Neodiprion lecontei: one gene and its partner. The main gene of each other region encodes a partner of the protein of the gene in region 2 in a complex. Links are inferred from orthologs where the notes say so. Each region holds a gene or a part of one and is shown on either strand. Other genes may lie near its edges. The genes, in order: adrenodoxin-like protein 1, mitochondrial; cysteine desulfurase, mitochondrial.

Evidence for each region.
Region 1: the proteins of cysteine desulfurase, mitochondrial (region 2) and adrenodoxin-like protein 1, mitochondrial are in contact, whole or in part, in a cryo-EM structure (PDB 8RMC), measured with the Homo sapiens proteins. The link is inferred for Neodiprion lecontei from reciprocal best matches to the Homo sapiens genes NFS1 and FDX2. Residues at the interface, in NP_066923.3 of Homo sapiens: Gln153, Lys157, Leu160, Asp161, Arg164, Ala168, Tyr175, Ala384, Ser385, Leu386, Glu387, Pro388, Tyr390, Arg393, Gln456, His457; in NP_001384335.1 of Homo sapiens: Ala104, Cys105, Glu106, Ala110, Cys111, Pro141, Leu142, Ile169, Thr170, Arg171, Asn172, Phe173, Tyr174, Val175, Asp176, His178, Lys181.

What each region holds. Positions count from the first base shown.
Region 1 is NC_060264.1:26,453,010-26,468,030, reverse strand, and holds adrenodoxin-like protein 1, mitochondrial, read right to left. Parts: upstream 6,080-15,021; 5' UTR 5,993-6,079; coding exon 5,878-5,992; intron 5,794-5,877; coding exon 5,742-5,793; intron 5,626-5,741; coding exon 5,378-5,625; exon of another isoform or gene 5,298-5,377; intron 4,935-5,297; coding exon 4,831-4,934; 3' UTR 4,708-4,830; downstream 1-4,707. Other genes in the region: sprouty-related, EVH1 domain-containing protein 1, read left to right, coding at 1-42, 221-795, 1,119-1,275; methylosome subunit pICln, read left to right, coding at 6,941-7,059, 7,388-7,533, 7,671-7,847, 8,046-8,156, 8,257-8,345; regulator of nonsense transcripts 2, read right to left, coding at 9,109-12,609; protein arginine methyltransferase NDUFAF7, mitochondrial, read right to left, coding at 13,237-13,746, 14,006-14,125, 14,204-14,467. UniProt on the Homo sapiens protein: Electron donor, of the core iron-sulfur cluster (ISC) assembly complex, that acts to reduce the persulfide into sulfide during [2Fe-2S] clusters assembly on the scaffolding protein ISCU.
Region 2 is NC_060264.1:23,140,785-23,157,370, reverse strand, and holds cysteine desulfurase, mitochondrial, read right to left. Parts: upstream 9,391-16,586; 5' UTR 9,361-9,390; coding exon 9,255-9,360; intron 9,172-9,254; coding exon 9,092-9,171; intron 8,910-9,091; coding exon 8,793-8,909; intron 8,729-8,792; coding exon 8,591-8,728; intron 8,328-8,590; coding exon 8,122-8,327; intron 8,020-8,121; coding exon 7,898-8,019; intron 7,836-7,897; coding exon 7,678-7,835; intron 7,416-7,677; coding exon 7,144-7,415; intron 7,063-7,143; coding exon 6,973-7,062; intron 6,874-6,972; coding exon 6,810-6,873; 3' UTR 6,641-6,809; downstream 1-6,640. Other genes in the region: isocitrate dehydrogenase [NADP] cytoplasmic, read right to left, coding at 1,593-2,807, 3,454-3,654; ragulator complex protein LAMTOR4 homolog, read left to right, coding at 4,819-4,890, 4,968-5,216; GTP-binding protein YPT6, read left to right, coding at 5,617-5,796, 5,944-6,188, 6,276-6,474; uncharacterized protein LOC107224137, read left to right, coding at 10,811-10,926, 11,003-11,172, 11,252-11,500, 11,566-11,726, 11,819-11,908, 12,003-13,064.

The DNA of each region.
Region 1 (15,021 bases), about 3.3 Mb from region 2:
TATTGTGGTCAATCAGATGTTGGAGATGACGATGTTTTTATGGTAAGTTGGTAACATGAACAGAAACTTCAGTCTCCATTTCTTTACTGCTCAATTTACTGTACATTGATTTATTACCTCACCATCCGGTACCATACAATAGCGAATGCATGTCTCCCTTGAAAGTAATATTATTTTATTAGTTTCACAACAATGGTTGAATTACATTAAACGATTCCAGACATTAAACCTGCCTGTGGATCCGGTAGATCCACGCCCATCATCCGAAACACAGCGGGGTGCAGTTCGTAAGCTAAATCATCACCACCATCATTCCCAGTGCCCGGATTTTTCTTTGGACCCCCATAAAGCACCACCGATTCATTACATTGGCGGCCCTTCAGCAAAGCCGCTACCTCCGCCGCATCATCCCTTGGAATCAATGGACGTCAGTACAGACAATTACCCGTACGTACAACTGACAACCCTGAACCATGAGTACCAGTACCCAGTTATCGAGGACCATAAAGGTGGGAGGTTCGACAGACGCGGCTCTTCCAGCTCGCTCAAGAAGCCAGATGTAATAGTTTCACAGATGGCAAAAAGTTGCGGGAAACGTAATAGCAGTGTACGTCTACGGTGTAAACATTGCCAGGAGTTATATTCTGAGCAGCACAATCCGAGAGGTGCCTGTGAATACGCACCTGATCCAGTCAGACGGGGCATCGCCACCGTTTCATGTCTTTCGTGTGCTCAGTGCATGCTATATCACTGCATGAGCGACGCTGAGGGGGATTTTGCACAGAACCCGTGCAGGTAAGTGACGGTATCACTATAACTTGAAAACGTTCTTATATATTTAAAATTCAGAGTATACATATTTTAATGCCAATTTTAAAGTATAAAATTTTGCTATTATGGTGGTTGAATACTAATTTATTTATTTATTTTTTTTTATTCATTTATTTTTTTTTTAATTTCGAAAATTTTTGTTCCTCACATGATTACTGAATAACACGACTTTTTTTACAATGAAAAATATCAATTTTCGGTCTGGAAATCCTAAAATCTCCCAGAATCGCGCAATGAGAAGTAATGAATGAAAGTAATTTTAAATCGAACTGAAAATGGGCTCGCAGCTGCAGTACGGAGGAAGGCTGTGGTCGGCGATGGTTCGGACTGGCTCTGTTGTCAATGATTGTTCCTTGTTTGTGGTTTTACCCACCTCTTCGCGCCGTTCACTGGTGCGGAATGTCTTGCGGGTTGTGCGGAGGTCGCCATTATCCCATGGAATAACTGGAGGAGCCCTTTGATATCTCTGTCCCGTTCTCCGTCGAGTACGTCTCAAGACGCCTTGCAACAGTCGGTGGTGCTAATGTCGCTGTTGCAAATGTATACCATTGCCACGATCCTGGCATGGGTCGGCGTCAGAGATATCAGAGGGGTAGGCAGCTTCCGGTACACGCTCTTGTACACCAATGTCGCCTATAAGGTTAGCTTTTTAATAACATGCATTCCGCACACTCAAATATTAATGTGGTATTATGACTTTATGGTTCGTTATGTCTTATTAAATCTACAGGGTGCTCTATCGATTATAACAACGAGTGGACAGCGGAAGAAAGTGTGCATCATTGAAGCAGCAGCGGATACGACCGTTAATCAAATTTATTCCGTACTTATCGTCTTCGAAGAAAAAACATACCGCATCTAGCAAAGTAAACGTACGTAAAAGTGCTCCATTTCGCAAGCATTCTTTCCTGTCCGCATTTTAAAACTTGTATCGAATAATAACTATGACACAACGACAACAACCACGATGATAACGGTAATGATGATGAGAATAACGATGACTAATGATTATGGTCTTCAGAAATATAGGTCTCCAGCCAGTTCACAGACTCGTTCAATTTTGTCAAGATTCAGTTCTAAATGTTCATTTGATCTGTTTGGTATTCTGTTACAAATATATGCACACAATTTTTTCGGAGAAAGAAACACGCAATAGGGAAGTACGTGCATATGTATACTAATTTAAAATCACAGCGTGTACAAATTATCGAACTCTGTGTACGTATGATAAAATCGAATATACTCGTACCGTTGAATCTGTTTAAACTGCGATACAGAAGAGGTTTAAAGATGAATCACGTGTGTATATATATATATGTCTCTGTGCATTTTGCGAAAAAAAAATACTAAACGTACTAATATACGACATCGCACACCTTATCAAGATTGAAGTACCTACCGATTCTCAAGTGTGGTCGAACTGAAAAATCGCACTGCTATTAAACTTGTCGAGGGTGTTGTACTACTGAAACGAAATTTTTATGCCAAAATATGGGGACAAAAGGGTTGCAGTACGATACCGTTTGGCAGTATGCTGTTACGGCTAGGAATCCGTTTAAGCGTCCCAATAATTGTAATCCCGATGCAGGGGTACCAAATAATCGTATGCTATTTCCACCGATTTGCAGTTTTCGTAAAAAAGTGAAAAAGTTGCGCGACTGTGTGCATGGTCGTGAATATACCTATAAGTATGTATACCGTATAAATGGAGAAGCTTTTTCGGATGAATATTAGTGTATTCGATTTTGTATTGACTTTTTTACAGTTTTGTATATTCAAAAGGTATCGGTGTGTTCCTAAAGGCTCAGAGGAGCACATAGAATACCTTTTGCTATAGAATAGCGCGATTAGGTTTAATATTGCTTTATGATATATTTATATATACACATATACGACATATACACATGTGTGTATACATGATATGTTCGTATATATATGTGTATATTTATTTGATTAACTTATAATATATCTTATATCCAGTGAAGACATTTCACCCATTAGTTCTTATTATCTTTATTATTATTATTATTATTATTATTATTATTATTATTACTATTGTTGTTGGTCTACGACGGGGCAAGTTATTATATTGTCACCAAAGTTGTTTCTATCGTATATCATGTTCACCAAGTGTGCGACGGAAACGTTCAAAATAATATAAGGAGGTTGAACGTATTGCCTGCCAACTTTGCAACAGAGAATGTGAATATCGCACGAAAAGTTATTAGAATTGCAATGCTGCGCAGCGACGTTACAATTTAAATAATTGTCTTTAAAATTCTAAAATAAAGGGTTGAATCGTTGATCATTGTCGGCAGTGCTGACATGATCTGATGGAGAATGTAAATACGATGTAATTTTCTAATCGTTCGTTATCCAAATTTTTGTGATTCTGATACGAACGGCATGATGATAACACAATAAATTATTGATTGGTCGACTGGTTAGGCCGATCGCAACCTCCGTTGCAATTACAACTGGCAACGCATACGTTTTAATGGACATACTATTACATTTATAATATATGTATACCATACACACGAACACATATATGCGTGTGTTTGTATATATATATATGTATGTACATATATATACGACTGCTATTTAATGTTGAAAGATTTGTCTTTTTTTCTTTAAATTACAAACAAGTACAAAGCTATATTATCCCCAATGCATCCGTAATTGTGATGATTCTTACCAAATGAGGATACGCGTGTAATCATCTCTAAATGTGCGGCAGCAATTGTAGGAGAAAATGCGTTTGAGTGAATGATGCGTTTAATTCATAAGTTATTGTTCAATTGTTGGATGAGAAAGAGTGAGAATGAGAGGATGAGTGCAGAAGAGGAAGTTGACGAATGTCTTGCAAAAGTATTACAATGTGTCCATGATCGCGTTGATCATTCGTATCAGCATAAAAAGTATAAATAATATAAAAACAAATATTGTAGGTCATAAGATGATAATAACAATAATATTATAAACCCAAAATAAGTAAATGAGTACGATTATGTGCGTCGTGTATTTACACACGCTTGTACGCACACACACATAATTATACACACAGAACACAAATACGATTGGTTTGTTGGTGAAAATATGCGTACTAAATGTAAAAACATGTACGCCTATAAGTTCACCATGGAACATTGGGTAGCATGTTGGAAGAATCAGGAGATGTTATGAAGTTATGATAAATTAAATAAGAGTTTCTACAACTCTTACTTGTATCGTGACAAATATTCACCTTATGCATATGTATTTATATATGTATGTATGTAAAAAAAATACATATATACACGTACATACGTATATTGTATGTATATATATATATTTACACAACGAACTCGACTCAATGAGTTTGTCTGACACGTAAGGCAAAAAGAGGAAGAGAAAATATGTAATATTGAAAAATCAAATTACTTTAATTCATTAACTCATTATATCGTAAATGTTTAAATCTTGTATCATTGTAATTGGAGAGATATGTATTATAATCCGAGATAAAAAAAAAAAATAACTACTGTACCGAGAAACTGATTCAGACTTTAACATTATATTCCTGATTACCCAAGCTCGATATGTAAAAGGTAGTAATGCAGTCAATATCAACGATCGTAAACGGGAATAAAAAATTAAATTATTTTGGGTATCACAAACGATATTGTAAAAACAGCAAAAAAGACGTGAGTGAGCAATCAAAACGTAAAACTTGCAATGTCAAAAGGACAAAAAGTAGAACTGTGAAACTATGATGTGACTTTGTAAAAGTATGTTTCTTTTTTTTCCGTCAATGTGATGCTTTGTGCATCTGTAAAGTTTACTGTGCTCTGTAGAAACACTAAATCGTCGTCAGTATGAGAATGATTGCATCAATTATCAAAAAAGGTAAGGTTTTTATTATACATTATATGTACAATATATTATATATACAATACATTATGATGTGGCTACAAGCGGGATTCTGAACATGTAGGAGATTCAATTCTTCCCTTTTTTTTAATGGGGTGTTGGAGTGTGACCATCTACATAAAAATTTCTTGTAGCTTTTGGAAGTTCAAGTTCTAATCCATTTAATTCTTTAGTCAGAATTATTTGACATCCTGAAAGAATGAAAAAGTAGTAAAGTATCTATTTAGCTCATCTATTGGAAGAGTCTGACAGTGGCTACAAACAAATCCTAGAAATATCCTAGAATCAAAAATTAATCCAAGAAATGGGGTATATATAACATGGAAGTTAATTATTATATTAGGAACATTTCTTTTTTATCTCAGCAAACGTAACTCTTTTTAACTGAAACTTTGTACAGTGGTGAAAATCGGATGTAATCCAATATCAATTTCCAATATTCATGTTTAAGAAGGGAGTGAAGGAAGCCAACTGTTATTAAAAGTAACCAGGGCAATCCGGCATGACTTCCGCGAATTTCATTTTGATCGCAAGATTCTCTTTAAATAAAGTACCTCAATTTGAAGAGTGTTACTGTAAAGGAATTTTTCTGTCCACTCTGGATATCTTAATTTCGTTTACTGCCAAAGCCTACCCAATCTGGAATTTTCTTTCAGAAATGGAGCCAGGTCTAATAAATCTTCTTCCTTGTCTTCTGCTGTGGGTAATTTTTCCCGATGATCAGAATTTACGTAGACATGACAAGTCGTACAGGCCAAGGAAGCTTCACATGCACCTTCCATTTCAATTCCGTGCCTGTGCGCCAAGTACAATACATTGTCACCAACTTTTCCTCTGACTGGTATCCTTTCTCCATGTTTAGTAATGTACACCACGTTGACGCTGCGAAATAAGAGAGGCAGAATTTCTATCCGGCTTTTCAAAACCGTAAGAACAGGACTTGATCGAAAATTTAAGAAGTTGACTGTAAATCGGGCAACTTGAATGTAATAACCTACACTTGGTCCTCCGATGTAGGATCCTGATATTCGTATTCTCCGTGACCTAGTCCTTTAAAGGAGAAAATGGTATAGACACATTATGAAGTTCCGTTGAGAGGTTAGAATGGTCGTGAAATCGTGATCTGCGACTTACGCTCAGTTGTGTGCATGTCAAGCTGGGAAAACATTTTTGGACGATAATAGCTTGACGAAAACAATAATCTCTTTACTAAGAACCTCGACAAAAGGTTTGGCAAAGACATTGTCATTTCGGTCAGGTAGCTTTTGCAAGAGCAGACAGAATACTTAGCGGCGACTTGTCAATTCACACGAGGTTGCGACAGTGTGTGTATAATGTATGCATCATGTTACATACGTGTGCAGGAGTTTCAAGTTGTGTTTACAAAATGAATACGAGGTCTGGGTACCAGGGTGCAGCACCTACTCCGCTGAGCACGTCGAGTTCTCGTTTTGTGCCGTGATTGGTTGAGTGAGCGGGCTCAGCCAATCACGACGCAGACCGAGATATATACATAAGCTCCACGGGTATGCAGCGTAGCTGGAGGGTTGAGAAAACCCGGCGACGCAGTGTCAAAATCTCTATTGCGTTTTTGCGGGAGGGTAAAAAGTAGAGAGAAAGGCGGGACGGAGTCAAATCTTCTCCCTCGAGGGGTGCACCGGGTGTATGTACCAGGCCGAAAAACTGCAGTGAACGATCCGCGCTTCGAGCGCTTGCGATACTTTCCGTGATTCTTATTCTTCTCGATTAACGGCAAGAGATACTTGCGGAGGAAAGTACCGTACATACGTCAAGGGCAGGTAAAACGAGGTAAGATCGATCAGTTCGGTAATTATTACATTATTATCACGGACAGACTTGCATTCGTTGCGCGACGTGTTTGAATCTTGGACCGAGAAACGACAGGGTACCAAAGTACTGCATTCATTCGAGCGATACATATTTTCAAAAGAAAAATGTGGATTTAAGAGTTTTTGACTCAGAACCATTTTCCCGGCTGCCCACGACGAAAAGCAAATGCTCTTGATTCCGTAATTGCTGTTCAGTCATACAGCTACGAATATCAATCAAGTCGCCCAAAGTTGTAGGTTTCCCTTCGACTCCTGAACTCTAACCTATAATAATTAACTTCTTCTAATTTACAATAATGATAACGTAGAATAGGTTTAATTTGTGGTGTTATTTTGCAGATTGTAAAATGGTCGTGCTGATCAATTTTCTACTGCCGCAAGAAGGTGTTAGACACGAAGAGCCTGACACTACGTTGTACATAAATGACAGAGAAGTTGGAAAGGGTACACTGTATGTGACAGAAAGGTAATATGCCGTTTTTATCGTACTGTTGACCTAGATTGGCAGTGATCTACACTAAATTTTATTCGTGTAATAATTTTAAGATTATATTATATTTTGGTGTAATACTGATTATAGAATTAGTATAGTCAGCGTAGAATCTCTACAGTACAAACTTTGAATTAATTTTTTGCAAATTAAAGTAGATGACACGATAAAAATAAGAGTATCGGTAGTGAAGAACACAACTCTCCCTTTATTTGATGTTTCAAACTAGTGGCTCGCAAGAGCAACGGTTAGAACCCATATGCAACATGGATTGGCTGTGTTATAAGTAATCTTACTTTCTCAGCCTACTATCATGGGTTAGTGGGACGACTGGTCAAGGATTTTCATTGGAATATCCTAATATATCGCTGCATGCTATATCAAGGGACCAACAACTACATCCTCACCAATACCTTTATGTCATGGTAGATGCAAAATTAGACCCTGCAGGTAAATGAAAAACGAGGATACTTTTTTCCCTTATACATGTGCTATACTTGCGGTTGATGATTGAGGATTTTTTTGTATTTCTTAACTCAAATTTTGGACAAATATCTCTGTATGTCTGTGTCATGCTATATCAACAGATATGCAAGAATTGCTGCCTATAGATGCCCGATCTGAAGGCAACGATGAAGAGGACGACGACGATGAATCGGAAACTCCAATGACTGAAATGAGATTCGTTCCAGAAAATTCAAATAGCTTGGATGCCATGTTTCAAGCGATGAGCCAGTGCCAAGCACTCCACCCTGATCCTCAAGGTATCTAAATGGTCATGCCTCAAATTCATGACAATCCTTTTGACTTTACTTCAATTACTATTGTATTCTACCTTGGAGGTATAATGCACCTTTTTTTTTCACGCAAATTGACCAAATTTATTTATTTCTAACTCTGCTACAGAACCCTATAGATTTCAATTCCAAGTTATAAGTTACAGAAACAATTATAATGAATAGAAATGAACAAAAACTTCACAGCTGAAGAGGATATCTATGAGGATGCTGAGGACGATGTTTTCAAATGTTGGGAAGCTGAAACAGACGCTATGCCATACATATTGGCATCGGGTATGATTTCTCTCTGTTTTTGTTGAATGGTTAGATTGAATACAATTTGCTATCTAGATGCTGGCCCTGTAACCATTCAATTGGCATGGTAATTTTCCAGATGAAGCATATAATCAGAACGGTGCAGATACAGACGAAGCCATGGATATTGAAGCAGGCCAGTTTGAAGATGCTGAAGAAGACCCTTAGGTAGTTGGTGGTATTAAATTCTACTCTCTGCTGTCAACTAAAACGTGCGTCAATCGTCACTATATCTCTTTGTTCGTGCAGTTTATTTTCATGCGCGTTGTAGACATAATGCTATAAGCTTACCGAATCACAATACTCTGAAGTAAATTTCTGTCAGCTAAGACACAAAGCGCTCGAATTTATATTCATATTCATTTTGTACATGATAACTATTCCTATGGTAAAAAATATAGGTATATAAATATAGATATAATATTGCATTTGATTTTTGTCATTGCGCATTAACGCGATTAATGGGAATGAGATTTTAGACGGAGAAGTATACCTTGCGTAAAAATGACAATCTAAGATTATTGTAACTATCTATCGTGTGTCGGAAATGGTTGATGGAATATGTGATGTTAGGCATGCGAATTATTGTACGTAATTTTAACGTTGGAACGTTTATTTCTCAATTAACGGCGCATGCCGAGTTTACACGTATACCTATTGGTAATGGATGTGTAAAGCTGGGGTCGAAAGGTTTCAATCGAACGATCCCACTTGGAAACACATCCCCGTTTGAATTTGAGATCTGTAGAACAGCGTACATTATTTTGTATACTTAAACATTTGATGTACTCGCGTAACGTGTGTGTGTGTGTAACCACTTATGCATATAGCATAAAAATCATCACAGGTAGTATGGCTACCACAGGCATAAGAAACCGATATCAAGTGTTATCATTACAATATACCTTGCCGAGGTTACACTATTTTCTGCTCATCGAATTTTTTTGGGCCCAAAAATAAGATCAGCATCCGGCGCACCCTTTGGGTGATTGTACTTTTGTCGACGTTCTCTGTTCAGATTAACGGTAACAGGTCTAGTGCCTTGATTTATAGTCTCTTGATAATCCTCTTCCTCCTGTCTTTCGGTAATATTTAGTGTCAATCTCTTCACCCTCTCCTTTTCTTCTTTCTGTTCTTGTTCCCGATTCCTGAGATTCATAGCGAGTTCGGAAGACACAGGAACAGCAAGATTTTTATACTGCTGCTTATTACCTTTCCTAAGCATGAGTACAAAGTCCACAGTCGTATTGTCCGACGGTCCTTCACGTAATTGTTCATACGTCTTTTTTGTGCTCTTGACATGGAGTGGCACAGATATATCAACCTGTTGTGGCTTCACCGAGTCACGCATCCGGTCCTGGATATTGTCAGACACCATTTTGTCAAGGGCCGAAAGAAAATCGTCATCTTCTGGGCAGCCAACCCGCCTTGGCGCCATTGGTAGCGCAGCATCTAATTCTGAGGGGTCCATAACAACCCCCTCACTCACGCCTGCCGATAGACTGAACTCCCCTTGAGTATTTTCCTGTGTACCATGATTACCTTCTCTGTAACCATCTGTTGCCCAGTCATCTTCCGACTGTGCTTCAGAATACTCTTCACTTTCATCGAAGTGCAGTTCTTCGAGTATACCTTTGGCATCTCCACTTCCGTTACCTGAAGCTATTGGCGTAGGTGTCGTCACTTCCTCATCGACCTCTGGTATAGCTCCCATTGCTTCAGATTCATTATTGCTGTCGGATGCGCGTGGTTCACCTGAATACTGTTCGTCCTCCTTTACTTCAATTCTGGCGAGACTTGGGTACAAGGTGTTGCGCAATTCATCTACAGCACAACGGGCCTCTTTGAAACCTTGGAACAGCTGCATCTTTGGCCTAAGCATTGTCAGTGTGTCACGATACATATAATCGACGCTGACTGGAAATGGATTTTCGACGGTCCATACAGGATCGCTACGCTTGAACCAGTAGTAATGCTGGAAGAATATTAGGAAATAATCCAGTTTCTTCTTACTAGAACCACCACTAAAGTATTGACCACATGTTTCCAGGAGCGTGCAGACCAAACGGATTCTGAACAAATGCTCAGGCGGATCAAGGAGCGTAGGTACTGTATGATCTGTAGAAACGCCGAAAGTTATGAGCAGGTAGAGAGTGCGGAAGATGTCGCCGCTCTCGACTAGGCGATAATTGTATAATTCCCCGAGGTACTTGACCATTGCAATACGACGTTGGTTATACTTTGGCAAATTTACCTCCATGCACAGCCTTATGTCTTCCAGAACGCCATCTACAACGTAAGGGCCAACAGCCTCATAATGCGCCACCAAACCTGCTAGTAAACTACCAACGCACCTTATGTTCAGGTACTTTACATTATGGGCGGCTACAAGGCATTTAATAGCATACGTAGAAATATTGTCATCCTCCCAGTCCAGTTTTCTCATTAGTCTCAATACCTTGTCAGTATTTGCCTTGGACAGATCCTGGTAAAGTAGTTTTCTAATGAACTCGTGCATAGGTGGTCTTTCTTTTTTTGCAATACCGCCAGTGGACTCTGGTGGATTAACAAAGTAGTAAGCGTTCTCTATTATCGTTACGTAACGCGAATCCAAAGCAGTAACCGCCTTTTTTCGCATCATTTGTTCCAGGTAGATTTTTGTGCGTTGATGAGAGTCTGGGGAACAAAATAAGAATCTCCCGCACGTCTCTAATAGATTGCAAGCCATTTCAACATGGTGATGAGTGAAATCGTGCAATAGTACTTTAAGACAGTAAAGTGCCTCAATTTTTGAGTACAGTTTGAACTTAACAAGCTCACCGATGTAACGAACAACTTTTATTTTTGACTCAATGTTGATCTGGTCTTTCTTTCTAACGTGGTACTTAAAATCTTGCTTGAGCATTAGACAGAGGTCATTAGCGACGTCTGGCATAACTGGATAAAGGATGCCGGCAAGCCGTGAGTAGAAGGGCAGCAAATCTAGCCGAATTCTGGACACACCGAACAGGGCCTTAATGAGTTTCTTTCTATTGTGCTTCGTGTTTAAATTCATAAGGAAATCAACAGCTGCATTGTCAATCATTTCTCTATTAACACAATTGGGAAGGTGAGTCAGAAACGCGTCCAATAATATTTTGTTGCTGATATTCGTGACGTGTGTCTCTTCAACCTCTGCCTCTGGCTCTTCGGCAACTTTGTCTGTGTCCTCGAGTTCTTCCAGCGCCAATTCCTCGTCCAGAGCCTCTTCTGTTAGTTGATTTTCGTCAGGTTTAAGCACAGGTACTTCTTTTGAATAAGAACCAGGCAAAAATACGGTGAGGTCTGGGAATACTTCGTAAAATCTCTTAGTCTCCTCATCGCCCCACATATCTTCTGTTGTTGTGCCGCTATCCTCACCGTCACAGGTCATCTTGAAAGACTCTTCTGCTTCTGTTTTAACCTCCATGTCGACTGGCAGTTCAGGCATGCTTTCGTCTAATGTTTCTGAAAAGCTTTGCACGCCACTGAACAAACGCTCATAGGATACCTGCAGAGTTTCCAACTTTTCTTTCCTCTCTGAGCTCAATTCACCTCTGGTCTGCAGTATCTTTCGATTCTGTTTTTCGAATGCCTGAAGCTCTTTGTGTTCCTTGAGTAGATGTTTGCACAGAGAGTTGTAATAGTCCCGCAGTAGTGTTCGAACATTCTGCTGCTTGTCGGCAGACAGTAGTCTGCTTTTGGGCAAAGGCTCGCCTGGCCATAGCTCAGACAACTCTCTTATTTTTCTTGGTACCAGACCCGCATAGTCCTCACCACAGTGACGGCAAAAACTCAAAATTATCGTTACGTTGTTGTGGTCTTCTTTGTCCATATTAATGAGTACGGTGAGCACGCTGCCCAAAAGCGGAAGACCCTGCTTGTGCGTAAATATGCCAGCATTGACTAACTCAGCGTAAAATCTTAAATCTACCCTTAGCTTGCTAGGATTTGAAATCTTGTCACCGACTTTGAAACTCAATATCCTCTGCCAATTCTCAAAGAAATGAGCGCCAAATTCGGCATAATTCTGGTGCAGGTAACTGCAAACCTTCACAGCTGGCGCGACATCAGTCATTTTCAATTTAGCCTCTACAAGAGCTGTCGCCACTTCGCTTATATATTTCGTTAAATTCAAATTGCTCATATCTTTCAGGACGGTATCCAGCTGAGCCGTACAAAAGTTCTTGAGCTTTTTGACAAATGTAGTATTTTTCTTCAAGCTGGAATCCAGTTTGCTGAAATGCGAATCAGGCGGACGGGACACATTTAGGTTTGCTAATCGGATCTTTTCCTTTGTTGAGAAACGCTGTTCCGCCTCCCTGATATATTCCATCAGAAACTCCTTGTCCACCTCTGACACATCGGGTGATACTTTTTCCGCCTCTTGACTGTCATTTTGAATCTCTGACATCGCCACGGTCTCTTGTTGTCTTCCGGACAGAAGTGTTTTACGATGTTCTGTTTGTAACAAATCATTTATTGAATTTTAGTTAGAAGATAGAAAAGAGGTTAGGTTTGTTTGACAAGATTATAATCTATAAGGAATTGACACAGTTCAGCTACAAGCCTGTACCTCGTTTTAACGACACTAAACTCCTGGCCGATCTTCAATCCATGGACTTTACAGCACTTTACAGTAAAATAAAATTATACACAACTACCCACCACGTCGTTGTTGACTCTGTGTTCTTGATTTGTTTTTATCAATTCTATGGTTAGATACGACCACAGACTTTTAAATACGACCAGGATACGACGCGCCATAGCGCATTTGTGCAATGTGCTCCTTACGAAAAATAAAAGCTTCCGCCAGCGGCTCAACGATGGCGCTAAACGACAAAACTGCGCGCGTCAATTCAATCCTTGTAGACCAAAATATTCGAGATATTGTCGACGGAACATGAAATACAAGTTTTGCTCTCAGCGATGAAGTTTATTCTCATTTTCATGTACACGAAAAGAACGCTCCAAAGTACAAAATATTTACAGAAAATCTTGAGAGTAAACAATTTCTAACAATATATAATTTTCAACTATTCTACACCGGTGTGTGAATTGCTTGAAAACCTGCCACAGGCCACTTATTCAAATTATCTTTCAACACTGAGGGGAACAGAGACAAGAACTTGAAACAGTTTCCCATTTTGTCTTCGTCTGTAATCATACTGTATCCCGAAATTAATGCTTTTCTGGTACTGTCGTCGGATGCTTTCTTCAACAGCATAATCAGCCTGGTGTCGATACCAAGCTGTTTTAAAAAATGTCTCTGGGTGACGGGGCCAAATGATATCAGACGATTATTTTGACATGCTATTCTCCTCAGCAGTGAGAAGTCAACGTCTGCAGTCAAGTCAGCTGTTCCTGGATTCGTGAGTGGATCCTGCTGCTTGTGATTACGGAAAGCTCGAAACGTGTCTGTTCGATCTCCGTTATGACCGTAGTCAGCAATAAGCGCGAATCCTCCGTTTCCTATGAGAAAATTTGCAATATAATCTATAATTACGGCGGTTTGCGGGCTTGTTTCGATGTGATCCCTGCGTTCGTGTTCCTAAAAAAAATTGATGCATATAAATTAGTGACATAAATCATGTAATTTTACATGTATGGGTCATATGTGCTAGAATTCTCAACAACGGTTATATTTAAAATTGCGTATCTCATTTAGATATTTCAAATTTGTAATAACTGTTTCACACATACTTATTCGGACAGCAAACAACAGACTCTAAACCTTATTCATCATCAAATGTAACTTATCTTCATTTGTTTTAGAAAGTTAGATATTTCCTACGCTCACTAATGCTTACAGAGATGTAAAACTTGGTATTCGGAGTAGCTGACCTAGACAAGACGTAGCGAAATTTTTCAGTCTCTTTCGACTCTGAATGGATGTCGATTAAAATTTCTCTCCATCCCTCGTTTGTTTTCTAAAAAAGGAAGAAGCAATGTTTTAAATTGGCAGCTAAGAAGCTGGAAATTCCATCTTCACGCTCAGATTAGTTCACCTGAAACTTATGTATGGGCATAGCGTCGAAAAATTCCTGTGCAATTATGATGCTGAAACCAGAAGGAACATCGTGGATGGTTCGATACCAGAACACTGTGACACCATCCTCTGTTGTGCCATGTTTGTAATAAGATTGACATTTGTCATTGTCAATTTCTTCATATGTTTTGCATAAATTCTTTGCTTGCAGGTCAGACAGTGTTGGGCTGACCTCTACCAAATGTAATGAAACTCTGGAGGATAATCCCAGTTTGTGGTAAACCTGAACGACAGAGACACCTATCTATCAGCAATACTACAAGAGAGAGGAAGGCCCTTGCTTCGCTATATGCTCAATAAAAGTGAGACCAGCTAATAAAATGCATGCAAGATAGTCAACAAGTCCATAGAACCGTGTAAAGAGTTTAATCAACATAGATAAAACAAATACCAGAAAGCATTAGGTTCAAAATTAAAGTTTAAAGATCAAATATAGACTGGTAAGTGAAGTTAGCATTGAAATATTTCTTATACTGTTCTAGTCAGCTGAAGAGCTGAAAATCTATGCATTTAACTTATTAGAAATTCATACAATCACTTGAAACTTATCATGCATAAACCATTACCACCAGATAGATTAAATACACGTTTGAGTTTTGATTCGTAACTCTTCAAGCCTACATACAGCATTTTGGATAAGTTTTGCAAATTTCAGGTAATTTGGTTGTCTGGCAGAGTGGGCAATATTTCGAAGTAAAAATTATAAGCCTCAAAGCTAATTTTTTTTTTTTGGTTCTAGTGTATCTGAACTAAACGAACAAAGGTGAGCCTTGGACT
Region 2 (16,586 bases):
CTTTTCTTTCCTTTTTACCTCCGCCTTAATTAATCTCACTTCAATGGAATGACGCACATATTCCCACAGATCGAGGCATACCGAATTTCAACCGTGTGTATCAGACGATCTATTTTCCTAATTATTCCGCGACGATGACGACGGGCTGCCGGAGGAGGAGGAGAAGGCGATGAAGCGAGCACGGAGCGCGAATAACTAATCGAGCGCTGTGGGCTGCGTTCGATTCACGCGGTACTATAAATACACATTTTTATCACGATGTAATGGAACGTAACATAAAACTGTAACAAAATACGCGATTACCACGCATAATTGTATACACAAAATATCGCACTTGGCGAATAATCCTATTCCGTTGAATAATTAGGCTGCATTTCATTACCGACTACCGGAACTACATGCCTCCAACCCCCATGGTAAAGAAGTTCCCGTACAGCTGACTAGGAGCCCTTTGTTCCGATAGTTAGATGGCAAAGAGGTTTTTTTGAACGTAACGTAACCTAAAACTATAATAAAATACGCGTTTACCAAGCATAGATGTATACCGCGGTATATCGCACTGGATGAATTATCCAATTCCATTAAACGATAAAGCTGCATTTCATCACTGACTGCCGATACTACAGCTCTATAGCATCCATGGTGAGAAAATTCCAATACAGCTGTCTAGAAGCCTTCTGTTCGGATAGTTAGATGGCTAGGAGGGTTTTTGATACTGCAATACCTCTCGCTCTCGGTGACGCAATTTCCTAGGAATTATCATGATGCACTACACTGGTCTTGTAATACAATGACTTTCTATTAGCCCTTCGAAACTATTCGTCCAAAGCCGATAGTTCGGAAGTAAATGCTTCATAATTTTTTTCAGTGCTCAAACGAACGCTGTATTTTCGGCGCATTTAAGGCTCACTCATCGATCACCAATTTGTTGAAATCAATCTTTCATTACAATGAACTAGCAAGTAACCGGTTACCGATAATTTAGATATAGGTGGAAAAGAATTGCGTTTTATGCCAACATTCAAGTTGTGGAGTTACGTAAAGTATACGCAATTCAAGTATCCAACTTGATCTTTGACCATGGCTACTCAGGAAGTCTTGAAGTTATATAATTTGAATACAGTGTAGCTGTAGAGCAAGGTTTCATATCAGTCCACAGCTATTTCGAAGGAATACGAGACTATAGATAATCCAACAATATTCGCACATGCAGGTTTTCACAGTTCCTGTAAATGAGGCAATCAAATGGTAAAATCATTGTAAAACATATTTATAAAACCTTTTGTTTATACATTGAAAACCAGACGAAAATCGTTCATTTGACTTATAGGTTTACAAAAATATTTCACAGGCTAAAGGTTCCTGTAATAACAATGGCATTTTCATACTTAAGAATACTTGAGTGTTGTGCTATTAACGCATGTATTGTCTAAAAAAAAAAAAAAAAAAAACTATTTTCCTCATCCAATAAACACCCCTCGAAGGTTTAAACTGAAAAAATTGGCAATAGATTCTGGAATAAATGAAGCAGCAGCCCTTTCCTGGGCTCAAAGCTTCGACCTCCGGATATCTGGGAACATGTATGTTTGCAGTCACGCCTTGGCCAGTTCCTTCTTTAAATTGTCAGCGAGCTTGTCCATAAACTCGAACGTCTCAAGATAGTCTGACCTTTTGACATTGTTCATGCCCTTGATGCAGATTGCCAAATCTTTAGTCATACTTCCAGCCTCGATCGTATCAATGCAAACTTTCTCCAGAGTCTCTGCGAATTTCTTCAACTGGTTGTTGTTGTCCAGCTTAGCACGGTGTAGTAGGCCCCTTGTCCAAGCAAAGATCGAGGCAATCGGATTGGTCGATGTCTCTTTACCCAGTTGATATTGGCGGTAATGCCGAGTGACTGTTCCATGCGCAGCCTCAGCCTCGACCGTCTTGCCATCAGGGCAGAGAAGCACAGAGGTCATCAGGCCTAGAGAGCCATAACCTTGAGCAACGGAATCTGACTGAACGTCTCCGTCGTAGTTCTTGCAAGCCCAGACAAAGCCACCCTCGGATTTCATAGCGTAGGCAACCATGTCGTCAATGAGCCGATGCTCGTACCAGATATTCTTTGCTTCGAACTTGGAACGGTACTCAGCCTCGTAAATCTCCTGGAAAATGTCCTTAAATCTGCCATCATATTTTTTCAGGATGGTGTTCTTGGTCGAAAGATAGAGCGGGTAGGTCCGAGCCAAAGCATACTGGAAAGAGCTGTGGGCAAAGTCACGGATGCTCTCGTCGGTGTTGAACTGGGCCTGAGCGATGCCAGCCCCCTTGAACTGGTAGACAGTGTGCTGGATTTTGTCGCCTGACTCACCTGTCCAGGTGATTTCCAGTTTACCGGCACCTGGTACCACAAAGTCTGTGGCCTTGTACTGGTCAGCATGGGCGTGACGGCCGATAATAATGGGTTGATTCCAACCAGTCACCAGCCGCGGAATATTCTTGCAGATTATAGCTTCCCTGAAGACAGTGCCGCCCAGTATATTCCTGATAGTGCCGTTGGGGCTCTTCCACATCTGTTTCAACTTGAACTCCTTGACTCGATTTTCGTCCGGAGTTATCGTCGCACACTTTATGCCCACGTTATATTTCTTTACAGCCTCCGCGCAGTCCACCGTCACCTGGTCATTAGTTGCGTCCCGGTTCTCCATACCCAGATCATAAATGTGCAACTCAATATCCAGGAACGGGAGTATCAATTTGTTCTTGATAGAGTCCCAGATGATACGAGTCATCTCATCTCCAAGAATGTCAACGACGGGTCCAGCCTGTTGGAAAAATGCTGTTTCTTTAAGTATTTTCATAAGAAACTGCTGAACATCTTATTTACAACAATTTCATTGTACAATCTAATCATGAACGGAAATTCCGAGAAATAATCAAACTATCAATCAATTGATTATTACGGCTTATATCGCGTGAGATAATGATCGCTGTGATATCCACATTGTAGTAGGAACCTTATCATTCGAAACTTATTAGCTTTCACTCGACCTCGAGCTTGTTTTCTATTTAAGTGAAACCATCGACATTCCACGGCAAACGATGGGTCGACTAAATGTGGGGGGGAGGAGAGGGGATCGACCTCTGCACTGTGCACCATAATGTGCACTATCATCCAAGGTGGTTTGGAACGGGGTTCTAATCATGCAATAAATACGGAATACTTCGGAACACGAACGCTGCGAACAATAAAGTTCCCCGAAAGGTGAATCGCAAGTGTCTCGTGATTTGAAGTGCCTTCTCTCAGTCGCGGCATTAGTATAGAAACTGTTTAAAACGGATACGCGACGATCGCGACCGGCCGTATGAGACTCGAATGTTTTTTAAACTGCAGGAAGATGAATCGGCTAACAGGGCGACGCCTCGGGGGAGCGTGATGGATCAGGGTGAGATATGTACATTCATAGATACCTTGATCTTAGCCATAGCGATTGACGTGGAGCTGAAGTTTTTCGATGTCTGTGTCGTCCACGTAAGGTTTCGTCTGCGCGATGCGTCGAATGAGGAGTTTCGGTCGAGCAGAGCGACGGACGACGTACTGCAGCGAAGTAATCGAGCCGCACTGTCCACGGCGGCACTCGGTCCTAACAGGCGAGTCAAGGAACGGAACATGGCGCCTGTTATTGTTATTATTACCGGATTATACGACTAGGGGATAGGATGAGTACGTGTACGGAACGGGTTGCGTACCGCGTATCGAACGATCCTAGAGTTGCACCGTCACTGGTCCCGTCGACCGGGTTCCCGAGATGTGTTATCTCTCGCGGAAAGTTGTGTACCCCAGGGACCTTTGGACGCGCTCCCCGGGTCCGAAGAGTACAATAAACCAACGGTTTATTGTCATTGACGGGTCAATTGATGCCACCCCTACATAAAATTGATAGCGAATTCTAGACGTTAACAGTATTGCTGACACGCGCCATTCTTTTAACGGGAGTTGGTTACGCAATCGATTGCCGCCTAGAGCGGCCAGCCGTCGAGTCAATCGGCCGAAGCCCGAGAGGCAATGTAACAGCGGTGGCATCCGCCATAAAATATCGGACTAATAACAGCTGCCCTCCAGGCTATCTACATAATTACGGTTCGCAATATTTTTTCATTTTGCCCCGAAATATCCGAAATATGTACTGCACATGCATTAAAGGTACTGTGTGGTGTTATTTAAAAGGCGGGCTGAATTAGCAATTTCTGTGAGTGTCATGCGTGATAATAACGTCTTGTTAATGCCTCAGAATAAATGAGATATTTATTTTCAAAGTCAAAACAAGGATGAAACTACGACATTTGCTACACTGATATGTAATGATATTTATGTCTCATTTGTAAACCACTGACCTCTACTTGTATGCTAGAGATCAGTGATGTAAACTCAGTGGTTTACTACAGAAAATCATACCGCGAACTTCACAGAGTTCGGCCATTTTCAGCACTCATTAGCTAGAGGAGCTAGAGAGTAAATTTGAGACCAAACTACAGGAGAGTGGATTACAGCGCCACGGTGAACAAACGATAAATGATATCTCCAGATTTCCAAGTTTTGTCAGTTGGCTACATTGAAGTCTAAGCAGGCAGAAAACAAGAGCAGAAAAATACATCGCGCTGCATCGCGCTGGCTACCGCGTTGTATTTTAGACTATCGCCACACGTCAAACCACAGGTTTTGTGTGTTGACAGGTGACACTTCCTCGCAAGGACAATTTTGATACTCGGCTCCCCAGTGCTTACGTTAAATTTTACCATTCTGCAATATACAAACATCCGCTAGGTTATTTGAAGATGTTGTCGATGGAGAGAATACCTGAGCAAATCGGTTATTTGGTATTAAAAGAGGACGGGGCGGTACTCACGGTATGACAACGCGATACAAGTCGAGAGCTTCATCATTGTTTACTTTTGTTTTTTTTTTTTCACTGCTGTCATTTCAGTCGGGTGGAGAGCTGGAAAACGACGAGAGAATTGCAAACATTATCATGAGCCTGATCACTCTGACCGACACGATCGATCCCAAGGCGTTTGCGTCCGATGAAACATTCAACAAAATATCCATAACCTACGAAGATCACTGCTACGTCATATGCCTGTCAAACAAGAAGGTTCACATTGTTAAGAAGAAGATAACCGCGTTGACCTCATCTCAAGAACAGCAGCAGCAGCACCTGCCAGTGATTGCTTGATGAGTCAAATATTGCTTATCGAAATAATTACAAGGAACATATGTTAAGTTGAAATATAAAAATGAGACATGTAATAAAGCAAAGATCGCAAATGTGAACGGTAGCAAGTTTCCTAGCTTTTTTGCTAGTGGTTCTGTTCATTGCACCTAATCGACTAATTATAGATGTAGTTGGACACCGAGGGTGATTCTTCGGTTTTTAGGCAGTCTGCGCCATCTATGAGCTTAGCAAAACGTCTATGACTGAACAAAGATGCTGCAATCTGCGCGAATATTTTTTAATTATCACGAATATGCATATGTACGCATGCATAAATGTGTGTAGTTATAATCGGTAATAATACGCGTGGGAAATATAACCCGTTAAACAATGATCGGTAGTATTGTTTAGATGTAAACAAATGGCCACCATCAAGGTAACCGAACAAAAGGTGATTTTATGTGGCGAATACGGGGTCGGGAAAAGTTCGATATTTAGGCGATTCGCGAACAATACCTTCGTCTCAAACAATGATAGAAAATCGACCTTGGGACTGGACAATATCAACAAACAGTACACCATTGACGAAAAAACGATTCGCGTAAGTAGCACATTTGCCTGTTACGTTCAGTTATTTTCACGCGTGCAAGTGCAGCTTTAAATTTATTGTGTCGGACAAGTATATTCATTTACACCTGTCAATTTTGGCTAATTTTCTACAACGTCGAGGGTGGTCCTGACTTTCCAGCTGCAGTTATGGGACACAGGAGGAATGGAGAGGGTTGCCTCTATAACATCCAGTTACTACAAATTTGCAGAGGCGGCAATATTGGTCTTTTCGCTTGACAATCCGACCTCCTTTCACCTCCTCTCACAGCACCTTCTTGACATTGTAACTTACGCGGAAAACGCTAAGATATTCCTTTGCGGGAACAAGAGCGACTTGGAAAGCGTTGATCCTCAGGTCACAGATGTGGAAATGGAACAATTCTGGTAAGAGAAATAATCTATTCACATCGTAATTATATGTTGAGAATTAAAGCAATAAGTTCATTGACAGTCGTAACTTTTGTTTCCCAGTGAACAGTGTCACAATTTGATATCGGCGACGTACAAAACGTCGTGTAAAACGGGGCACGGGGTTGATGAAATGTTTGAAGATATTGCACGCCATTTGGTCGAGGCAAACAGATCGCGTATGGAACTGCACGATATGGACAAGGACCACTTCAAAATCACAAGTTCCGACGAAATCGACGAGCCATCCTGCTTGTGCTAATTTTGATTCAGCTTTTAATGCCCAGAACACGTTTCTCTAGTCAACTCAAGAGGAAACGGATTTCAATTTAAAAATGCATGATTTATGTCATGACAAACGCTGGCTGAGCATATATTAATATTATAATAATTTATTGACGGAGGATGAATGATGTGTGGCGATTTGATAAATTTTCAAAATAAAAATTTATTCATTTATCATAAACTCTTATACTACTATGCAGCGAATGCAATGTTGAAATCTGGAAACTTGAAATCTCACTAAGCTAGTCATAATTTACTATGTATCACTTAACAAATAATCCGTGTACAAAGCCCTTTTTGAGTAGGAACTGTTCAGTGCTGCGTCCATTTGATTGACTTGATATCGATACCCTCTTGTACCATTTCCCACAGTGGACTGGCAGGAGGAAGAGAAAACAGAATTATATCAATTTTACAAGCAAACAAAACTTTTGCTAGAGTTTCAATTTTGACATCGAGCGCATAAAACACATACCTCATCTCTCTGAGTCGAATAACGTGGCGTATGATGTTATGCGCTGTGTAATCGACTTCTTCACGAGTTGTGAAACGACCAATTCCAAACCTGAAATGCACAGTAATTTGCCATTGTCAGCATTTATATGTCAGATATCCTAGTTTGCAAAAATTGTACATTCACGCCTACCTTATACTGGAATGTGCCAGGTCTTCGGCAGCTCCAATGGCACGTAAGACGTAGCTTGGCTCTAGACTGGCGCTCGTGCAAGCTGAGCCGCTGCTCAACGCCACATCTTTCAAAGCCATCAGCAATGACTCTCCCTCGACAAAAGCAAAAGAGAGATTCACGCAGCCAGGATACCAGGCAACTTCATCACCGTTACGCACCACATTCGTTAAACTGCCCATTATTTTTTGTATCAAATGCTGGGAAAGATCTTCTATATACTTGTGGTCATACTGTAAACGTGGAGAAGAACACAAGTATTAATCCAGATAATTTTCAGTTCAAATTGAAGATGATACTTAACACCAGATACTATCAAACTGACGTAAAAATGTAATTTCTTTTGAAATCAGAGACTGATGAAATTCCTGGAAATTTTCTGAAATTTCCTTGTAAAGTAATAATCTCATGACATTTTCAGGTTTTCCCAATTTTCTGTAATGCTGGACACTTTACAGTGAAGCATATGGAAAGTTGAGAAAGTGTTGTACTAACAGCCATTTCCTTTTGTGCGAGCTCGCAAGCAGCCCCCAGCCCAACCACCAGAGGTGCTGGCACCGTTCCACTTCTCATGCCTCTTTCCTGACCCCCGCCACTTTGAAGGGCTTCGACACGAACCCTTGGCCTACGCCTGACGTAGAGTGCTCCTATGCCTGAAACATTAGTTGAGATGCATGGATATTTTGAAAAATTTCTCGATCTCTTTATGCACTACCTTTTGGCCCGTACAACTTATGACCACTGATCGACATGAGATCTATGTTCATCGCGTTCACGTTGATCGGAATTTTTCCTACAGCTTGCGCAGCATCTGTGTGAAAGAAAACTTTCTTCCTTCTGCAATATCAACAAATATGATAATCTGTTCACTGCTCAATACTTAACGCTTTTATCTTTGTCTTGTTCTGAAACTTAAAATATATTTTACAGTATAACAACCTGCATAGAGCTCCAATCTCTGCAATTGGCTGTTGGACACCAATTTCGTTGTTCACAGTCATTATCGAAACAAGTGATGTGTCAGGCCTCAGAGCAGCTTCAAGTTGGTCTATGTCGATTAATCCATTGGGTTTGACAGGGAGGTATGTGACATTGAATCCTTCAGCTTGCAAAGCTCTGCAGGAGTCCAAAACGCACTTGTGTTCCTATGTAAAAAGAACAAGTTGAGAGACCTCAATACTTCTCATCAAATGCCCGTGGCTTCATACTTCATTATGTTTTACAAATATTTCCATTCTGGTCTCCAATTAATTTTATTTCAAGCATACAATATATTTGAAACGGAATGTAATCACAAAATTAGAAACAAACTACGTAAGCCAACATCAATGATTATTTCACAGTGAAAACATTATCAAATGGAGCATCAAATAGTTTACATCGTATCCAATTTTCCTTTTCAACTCACAGTTTGTGTCGTTACAACGTGCTTTTTCTTTTCCTTGTAAAATCTAGCCACACCCTTGACAGATATATTATTGCACTCCGTGGCCCCAGACGTGAATATAATTTCCTTCGGATCAGCTCCTATCAGATCAGCAACTTGCTACAAGAGAAATTGAAAGAGGATAGAATATAAAGCACTTAGAGAAAACGAGATCCTTACTAACTTTCCGACCACGCTCAACAGCTGCCTCTGTTTCCCATCCATACATGTGAGTCCTGGAATGCGGATTGCCGTAGTATGTTGTCATGTACGGCATCATCTGGTCCAGCACACGTGGGTCCTGAAATGAGAATCGACGTATCAGTTGACACCCAGATGTACTAATACTGATTAAAACAAGTTAGCGAAGTTTAGCGATTGAAATTTTTCCAAACAAACCGTTATTAAAACAAAATACGTTTATACAATCACAAGTGTGAGATTAAGAATAATTTTAGTTCCGTTCGAGAGGTGGATAATTACCAATGGTGTAGTGGCCTGGGCATCCAGATACAAGGGCCGACCCTCCGCTGGACCCTTTTTGTACTCATCACTGATGGGAGCTGGAAAAAAACGATTTTTAACAAGTAGTTAGGCGCAATTGCATAATTTGTAGTAAAATCTTTCGTTTACTAGTTCAGCGTACATTCGAATTCTTTGACAGCCGCGTAGTGTCGCTTGGGCGACGAAATCACTTCGTTGACGTGGTGATCGCGCGCAAGAGGCACGAGTCGTTTCCACAAACGAAACATTCTTTCGTTTGATCGGCCTTCTTCAGTCGTGCGACATTTACTCAATCAGTTGGCCGGTCGCGCGCTCAAAAAAAGGAGGAATTTGGGTTAGGAATCTCGATGCGAAGGCAGAGGAAACTGTACGGATCTAATCAAGATCTTGAATCTCGAGAGTCGAGAGCTAGGCGTACGCAGGATCACCGATCAATTGGTGCCGCGACGAAAAGAGATTAGTTGGAATGAAGTGAAGTGAAGTGCGGTTAACCTGAAAGAGCGTCGGTAACCCTGATAGAACAGCTCCTGCTCGTAACTGCGGTTCTGTTTGCCTCTCACCAATCGGAAACTCGTCCCCTCGGCCTCGATCAGCCGTCAATGGCGCGAAAAACTCCGTGCAGGATGTTTGTTAAGATTGTCATTTGCTAATTGCACTTTACACGTACGAATTTGTGATAAAAATTTGATGCGACGCAGAGACGTTTAGAGTTAACAGGTACAGTGCGTTGTTTGGATAGATTCAACTATGCGCGCATGAGCTGTGCCAAAGTGACCAATATGCATCCAATATGTGAAATCATCTTTCAGTATTCTTCTTTTCCTCTGATGGTTACCGTTTTAGAGTAGTCATTGTTAAGAGTGCCCTGGTCGATTTTGATGTTGACTTATATATTTGCAAACATCGAAGTCCACGTATCTCAAACGCAAAAACGAGCTCAACATCCCGATTCTATACGCGATTCTGTACAAAAACACTTTTATACATTTGCATTTAACGCAGAAATAAAGAATTGGCATGGATTCTATGAAATCACTATAGTAAATAAAATTTGTAGAATTCATACCCTTTGAAATGACCGTTGACATAAAACGTTCATAAAAAAATTTTTAATCTGATCAACGCTGATTAGGGTCACCGTTTTTAAAACGTCAATAGTCTCCAGTCAACGACAGTCTTCAATGAGTCAACGAAATTACACAGCCTTTATAAATCAGTTAAAATAATTTACCAAGTAAAACTCTTGTTCGAAACATTCATTTACCTTCGTCTCATTTACGTGTTATGTTACTCTTCTGGATTTGTTTTGAAAATGCCGCGTCAATTTCTCATCTGTACTGCTCTGTGACAGCCGTGGTAGCAGACTGAACTAAAAGTACGCGTGCTTTTTGTTTGTGTCAACAGTACCGACCCTGTGCCGACGCCCGCGAGAGTGTAATCCTGATTTTCCTGAATTTTCCCCGCACTGTATTATCACAAATCTTAACGATTTCTTCAACAATGCTATTCGTAACTGTGTAAAATCACCCTTAGGTCGTACTGTATTGCGATTCTTGCCCAAAGTTGAACTTAAAATTAGGTTTGCTTATATTATTGTCGATACATAACCTAAAATTCGACTCATCCTCTCACAAATTTTAGCGATTTTAGCTACATGGTTCGTGGATCACTTCTTGTGTTCTCTTAGATTTCAGCCTCATGATGATGGATGCCGCGATTGAAACAGAGGAGGTGATAGAAAAACCACCGGTTAGCGTGCCAGTCGTCAGAGTTCCCGTCAAGCACACCAACCTCGGCATCAGAAGTCACGCAATGTAAGCTAATTATTGGTCAACCCGTAACTCATCACTTCCGTGCCAAATATCAGATATCACATGTTTCATTCTGCAGGGACATGAGCACAATGGTTGAACTGACGTCGTTCAGTTCCCTTGGGAAAATTCAGCCATTTCTTGTCACTCTCTCCACAACTGCAGCGCTCATCGTCGACCTGCATTGCCATCTCAAGGACAAGGAGGTGTGTGGTTATCTTGGGGGGCATTGGGACATTAATGCTCACAGTGAGGTTCAGTTCCTAACACATATTTGTAGACAACATTGAAAATTGCGGGTTTTTATTAAGGATCTTGATGCCCATAGATTTGACAATAAACTACGCGTTTCCATGCCGATGTAATGGGAAAGACAAAACTGCAGCTGCAGCAACTGAGGCTGAAATTGCACGAGCCATGGAATGGAAGCATCTCACGTTGGTAGGATGGTATCATTCCCATCCTAGGACGCACGCGTCGCCGTCGCTCCGCGATGTCGATTCTCAACTAGACTATCAGATAAAGATGAAAGGACTGAGTGACAATAGTTACACACCATGTGTCGGGCTTATCTGCTGTGAGTTTCGTTGTTTGCGTTTTGGTCATCCCAACAGTCTTAAATTTTTGGCTCACTTTTCGCAGCTCCGTATAACACAGATAATAACTGCTACGAGTCAAACTTCAACTTCTTTTGGTCGCTCCCTCCACCGGAAAATCGGCCTCACGAGTACCCGAGACCAATGCTGCTCAGCTACACCCTGTCCCAGGAACAATTCCTTTCTCAGGAAGCTATTGATGAAATTGTAAGATGTTCAGCACTGAATTTCAATGCCGTAGTTAGCGACTGTGCAGCAGTTCAGGTATCTACTATAATGGCTGGTTTTTAATTTTTCAGAAAAAATGTGTCGAGTATTACAAAAATGACGGCTGTGTCGACTTCAAAGGAATCTTTAACGGTTCTGTGACGTATTTGGAAAAATTGAAGGCAAGTATGCGACGCGTGCAAAAACTTTGTGTATTGAGAATTATGAAAAGTAAATCAGTGCTAGATAACATTTTTGTATCATTCTTTTTCGTAGAGCTCATTGGAGTCAAAACTACCGAGGAACCAGTCAAACGGATCGTACTGGGACGCCATCAGAGAAATCGTTGCACCTGGAATGGAGGATCCGCCAACGACAACGCAAGCATCGAGCATAGCGGGAAATTCGGATATATTTTCGAATGTCAAGTTCCCGTTGGTGCCTGACCCCATGGGCCGTTCTGGCATCAATCCTAACAATCTTTTCCTCACTCCCGTAAACTTTAAACTAGACTCTAGCGTCTCCATACTAAAGCCGTTCAACGTGCCGTCGACTTCGAAGGACAAAAACGACACCCTTGAAGCCACCAAAGGGCAGAAATTCGACTTACCGATGCCGGATATGAATCTCAATGCGAAGCACAAGTTGCCGGCTGAATTCACATCCGGTGAACTGACCGTTTCCGTAAAGAATTCCAAACCAGACTACGATTTCTCAACCGCGGACTTTTCCAAGGTTAGCAATCTCCTGTCGAGCGATTCCAGCTCCCACGGTGCCGGCAAGAACAGGATTCCTGAATTCCCACTCGCCGATATATCGCAGCTGAGCAAATTCTCGGACCTTTCGAAGCTGGCCAACTTTTCAACCAGTGATTTGGCCAAACTGTCGGGTTTCTCAATAAACGACATTGCCAAGACGTCCCCAGCCTACGCCTGCAACCTAGCCAACCTGTTCAACCCCCTCGGTGGCAAGGCCCAGGACGTGACAGTGATCGACGTTAACAAGACTACCGAATTTCCCATATCCGAATTCATCTCTTCCGACATCTCGTTTAAGCCCTCTGACGTCGTCAAGGGTCTTGTCGCAATGTCGACCGTCGATACAAAACTCACTGTCAGTGAATTGCCCGTCGGTGAACAGAAGAAGAACCCCGACTCCGGGGACTCGTCGAAGTCAACCAGAAACGATTACTCTATGGACGACGTTTCCATCGCGAATGTAAAGTCCGATTTTGGTACTATGCTGGACATGACGGTGCACGGCATGAAGCAGCAATCTGGCGGCAATGACTGCCCGGACTCTTTGAATTTGAGCATAGATCATCAGTCGGGAAAGTGATGGAAGGGTGAGGGGAGGGAGCGAGGATCGTAGATCGATCACGTCGAGGCTCGTTTCACGTTGTAAATCGGTACTGCTACTTACTTTAACGAATACGGTATAAGATATAGGTCTTATAGGTTTCACCATGACTAATTGAACTGAAACTCAAATCGTAGGCTGTAGTAATTTATTGGACCAGGCATACACAACAAAGCGATGTAATCTCTCAAATTTCCCCATTATTCTGGGTGGGAATATTATCATATGTACTCCCACGGTCACTGCATCTGTAGCTCCTGGGATGGGCAACCGAAGATACATAGCAATTTAGGTGAGAAATTCTGTGCGAAATTAAACGTGTAACTTCGTTGCCTATCTCGGGGACGACAGCTACCGTGACCGTGATTGTACCTAAGTAAACATAACACGATTGTTGCGGATGGGATGCTTCCGGCGATTTTAACGGACGTAGTTATTCTGAAACATTACTATTTAGAACCATGACTTTATTACCGTGAATAAAAACCATTTTTATATCTAAAACTATCTTTTCGATGGGTGTCATCTTTGCTTTTGATATTATAGATTTTTTGTTTTATGTACCCGTATTTCCTGCCGCCTTGTGATTCGCTACTCGCATCGCACTCCGTCGTGTCTGTTGCCTAATCTTAGGCACTTTTGCAAAGATCCTTGAAGGAATGAAAATGATCTACACTAGATCATATAATTTTGCAATCTAGATTTGGAATATTACTGAAAAGCGCTTTAATGTTTATACCTGATATATAATATAGTCTCCTTAATCAAAGAGACTATACATGTTCCAGACATTCTAGATATGATTGCAGTATTGCAGGTAACTTAGAATAATATGTTACTAATAGTTGACCCTTTCGGTACGCACGCATTCTACGTCACACCGTCCCCGCTGACCGAGCAGTCGTGGCAAGCGTACAGTCACCGCTCAGACAGAGCGAGCGTCGCACGTTGGGTGACTATAGTCACCGCTCAGGCCGAAAGGGTTAATTAGCTGGTGAAAAATGCAATTTTCAGGATCACCTTGCGAGTGGAGAATATACGTGAATTGGAATTGCAGAAACTCCCGCGGGATCGCAATTGCATCCCCCTGTCTGAAGATCCGTTACGAAAAGGCTGCAGCCATATGGTAGGAATGCGGTGCTCTCGCGGATCTATATATCGCAATCGGAGAGTGTAACTATAATATCTACATATTATATATATACATACACATGTGATACAAACTTTCCGAAGTATGTGACATTTGCTTTGCGACAGGGCCACGGCATCCCCGCTCCCTTCTCTTCCCTTCTCTCACTATCCATAAGTCGGTCTGCTCTTTCTGATATAACAGATCTTTCGAATGACGTCGCGTCCAATCGGATACCGAGCTCACCTTCGTGAAAGTATACGGTGGCCCTGCCGCCCGGGATCTATGGCCAGTCTCTGGCCAGTGGCCCCCAGCACACAAACCTTTAATCCTCGCGCGTTCTTCGTCCGCGATTTGCCTTCATACTGCTTTCACCGCGGTAATGCGATACGTATATGCGGAGAAAATACAATTCCATGCAATTTTAATTACCACCGCATCATTGTGCCCCTTCCCATTGTTCATGTATAGCTGATGAACCTGAGGAAGGGTGACAAAGTGTTATCAGTGCAAAACAAGAAGCTACCCAGTCAGATCCGGGATATCGGGATGTCCGACGTTCGAGTTTAACCACTCTGCTGGATCACTTGCAGATAACATCGCGGAGCGAAAGGTGCGTGCGAGAAATCATTTTCGTATTCCTCGATACGACTTAAGTCGAAAATCGTCTAAAGACTTCCGATGTAGAGAACTTCGCGACTCTGCAGATGAGGTTAATTAATGATAACATTTTTTTTAACCAAACGATGTCTTAGCAAGGAATTTTGAGCCGAAAAATATCGAATCTAAAAAGCCCAAACTGATATGTATAATGTTTCATAATTTATGTTTTCGAGAACACGTTATAGATCCGCAGATTTGCGGAGAATGTTAATATGTAGCTCACGTTACCTTGGGCTCACCGGATAGCGGTAGTTTTTAACGCTGACAGACGAATTGACTGTACAAATTTAAAATCTAAAGACATCTTGAGGCCTCGAAGTCTCAGCGGAAACAGTTTAGTTAAAATTAGGCTATTGGGCAACGAATTTTGGTCAACTTTTCACTTCGTCGCATGTTGTCTGGGTTGTTTACCTAATCAAGACAGCTGGAAATTCCACTCGACGGTTGTCTTCCCGCGTACGTCTAGGTATGGAATCATGCTCTGGTCTACTTTCTAACACACCAGGTGACTCCTTAAGGCAGCGAGCGGATCAAACAGCGGATGTAGCGTGCAGTGTTTGTTTGCCGTAGCTTATTATTATTTCTGCGCATAGGTATTAATACTTATTTATAACACACATTTGGTCAAACGGGAGCGGTTCGGTTCCGTTGTGACGCAGCTGCGGAATCCGTGTGATTCAGAAAATCACGATGAGGTTTATTGAGTGCGTGTAAAGAATTTCCAGTGATTTCATCCGCTGCAATGGACCGGAAACGACTCTCAGAAACTTACGCCAGTTGGCAGGTTACTACATCTCCCGATACCTATTTCTCGAAATCAGATGTACCGACCAATGATCATTGCGGGCATGTGTACATATCCATCACTCTTCTGCACCCCCGATTCAGTGCTCTTTCTCTATTTTACGATCTGCACCAGATAAATTCCGTGCAGGTTGAAATGATATTTATGATATACTTATCACATGTGTATTGAATTATTATTCGTATTTATAGCGGGCTGTGTAAGAAATGATCGATTGAAATCAAACTGTCCACCTTTCCTGATTCATAACCAGCTTGGACGCGCATAACTGTACAATTCCTATTCACCGGGGGACCAGGCGCGTGGGCGATGTATGTATGTAAGTACGTACGTGTCATACTGCGAGTGTGCCGGAGGTGAACGTGAAACGTGGGATTGTTTATTATTCACCTTGCAACTTTTCGTCGTTTTATTATTCAAGCACATATAACGCATGCTTTTTAAATCCTCACTCGTACAATACGGGCATTTCTGTACAATTTTTGAAAAATATACTGTAACATGCGAGGACATATGACTATAACTATAATTCGTGCTATCCGCCGCGCTCTGATTACGTAATAATAAACCGTTTGCAGCTACCAACGTCGTTCGATCACCTTCTTCACGCAATCGCCGACGATTTACTAGAAAGTCGGAGAAGACGTGCCAGGCTCAACCGGTGGGGAATGATTGATGACTATCCCGGCTTTTTCGATGCCGAAGAATTCCCAATGATTCAGTTACCGAAACAGATCTTCTGACTCCTGTTTTACTCCAACTAATTGTACGCGATCTAATTCACTAGTAAAGGGTCCAGGCGAAGCTGGCTGCCTACCAGTAGGCGGATGGTGGTTAATTTAGGGGTGAGAAGTGGCGTCGGTCGATCGGTCGTTGAATGACGGCATTATTCGATGCTAGTCTC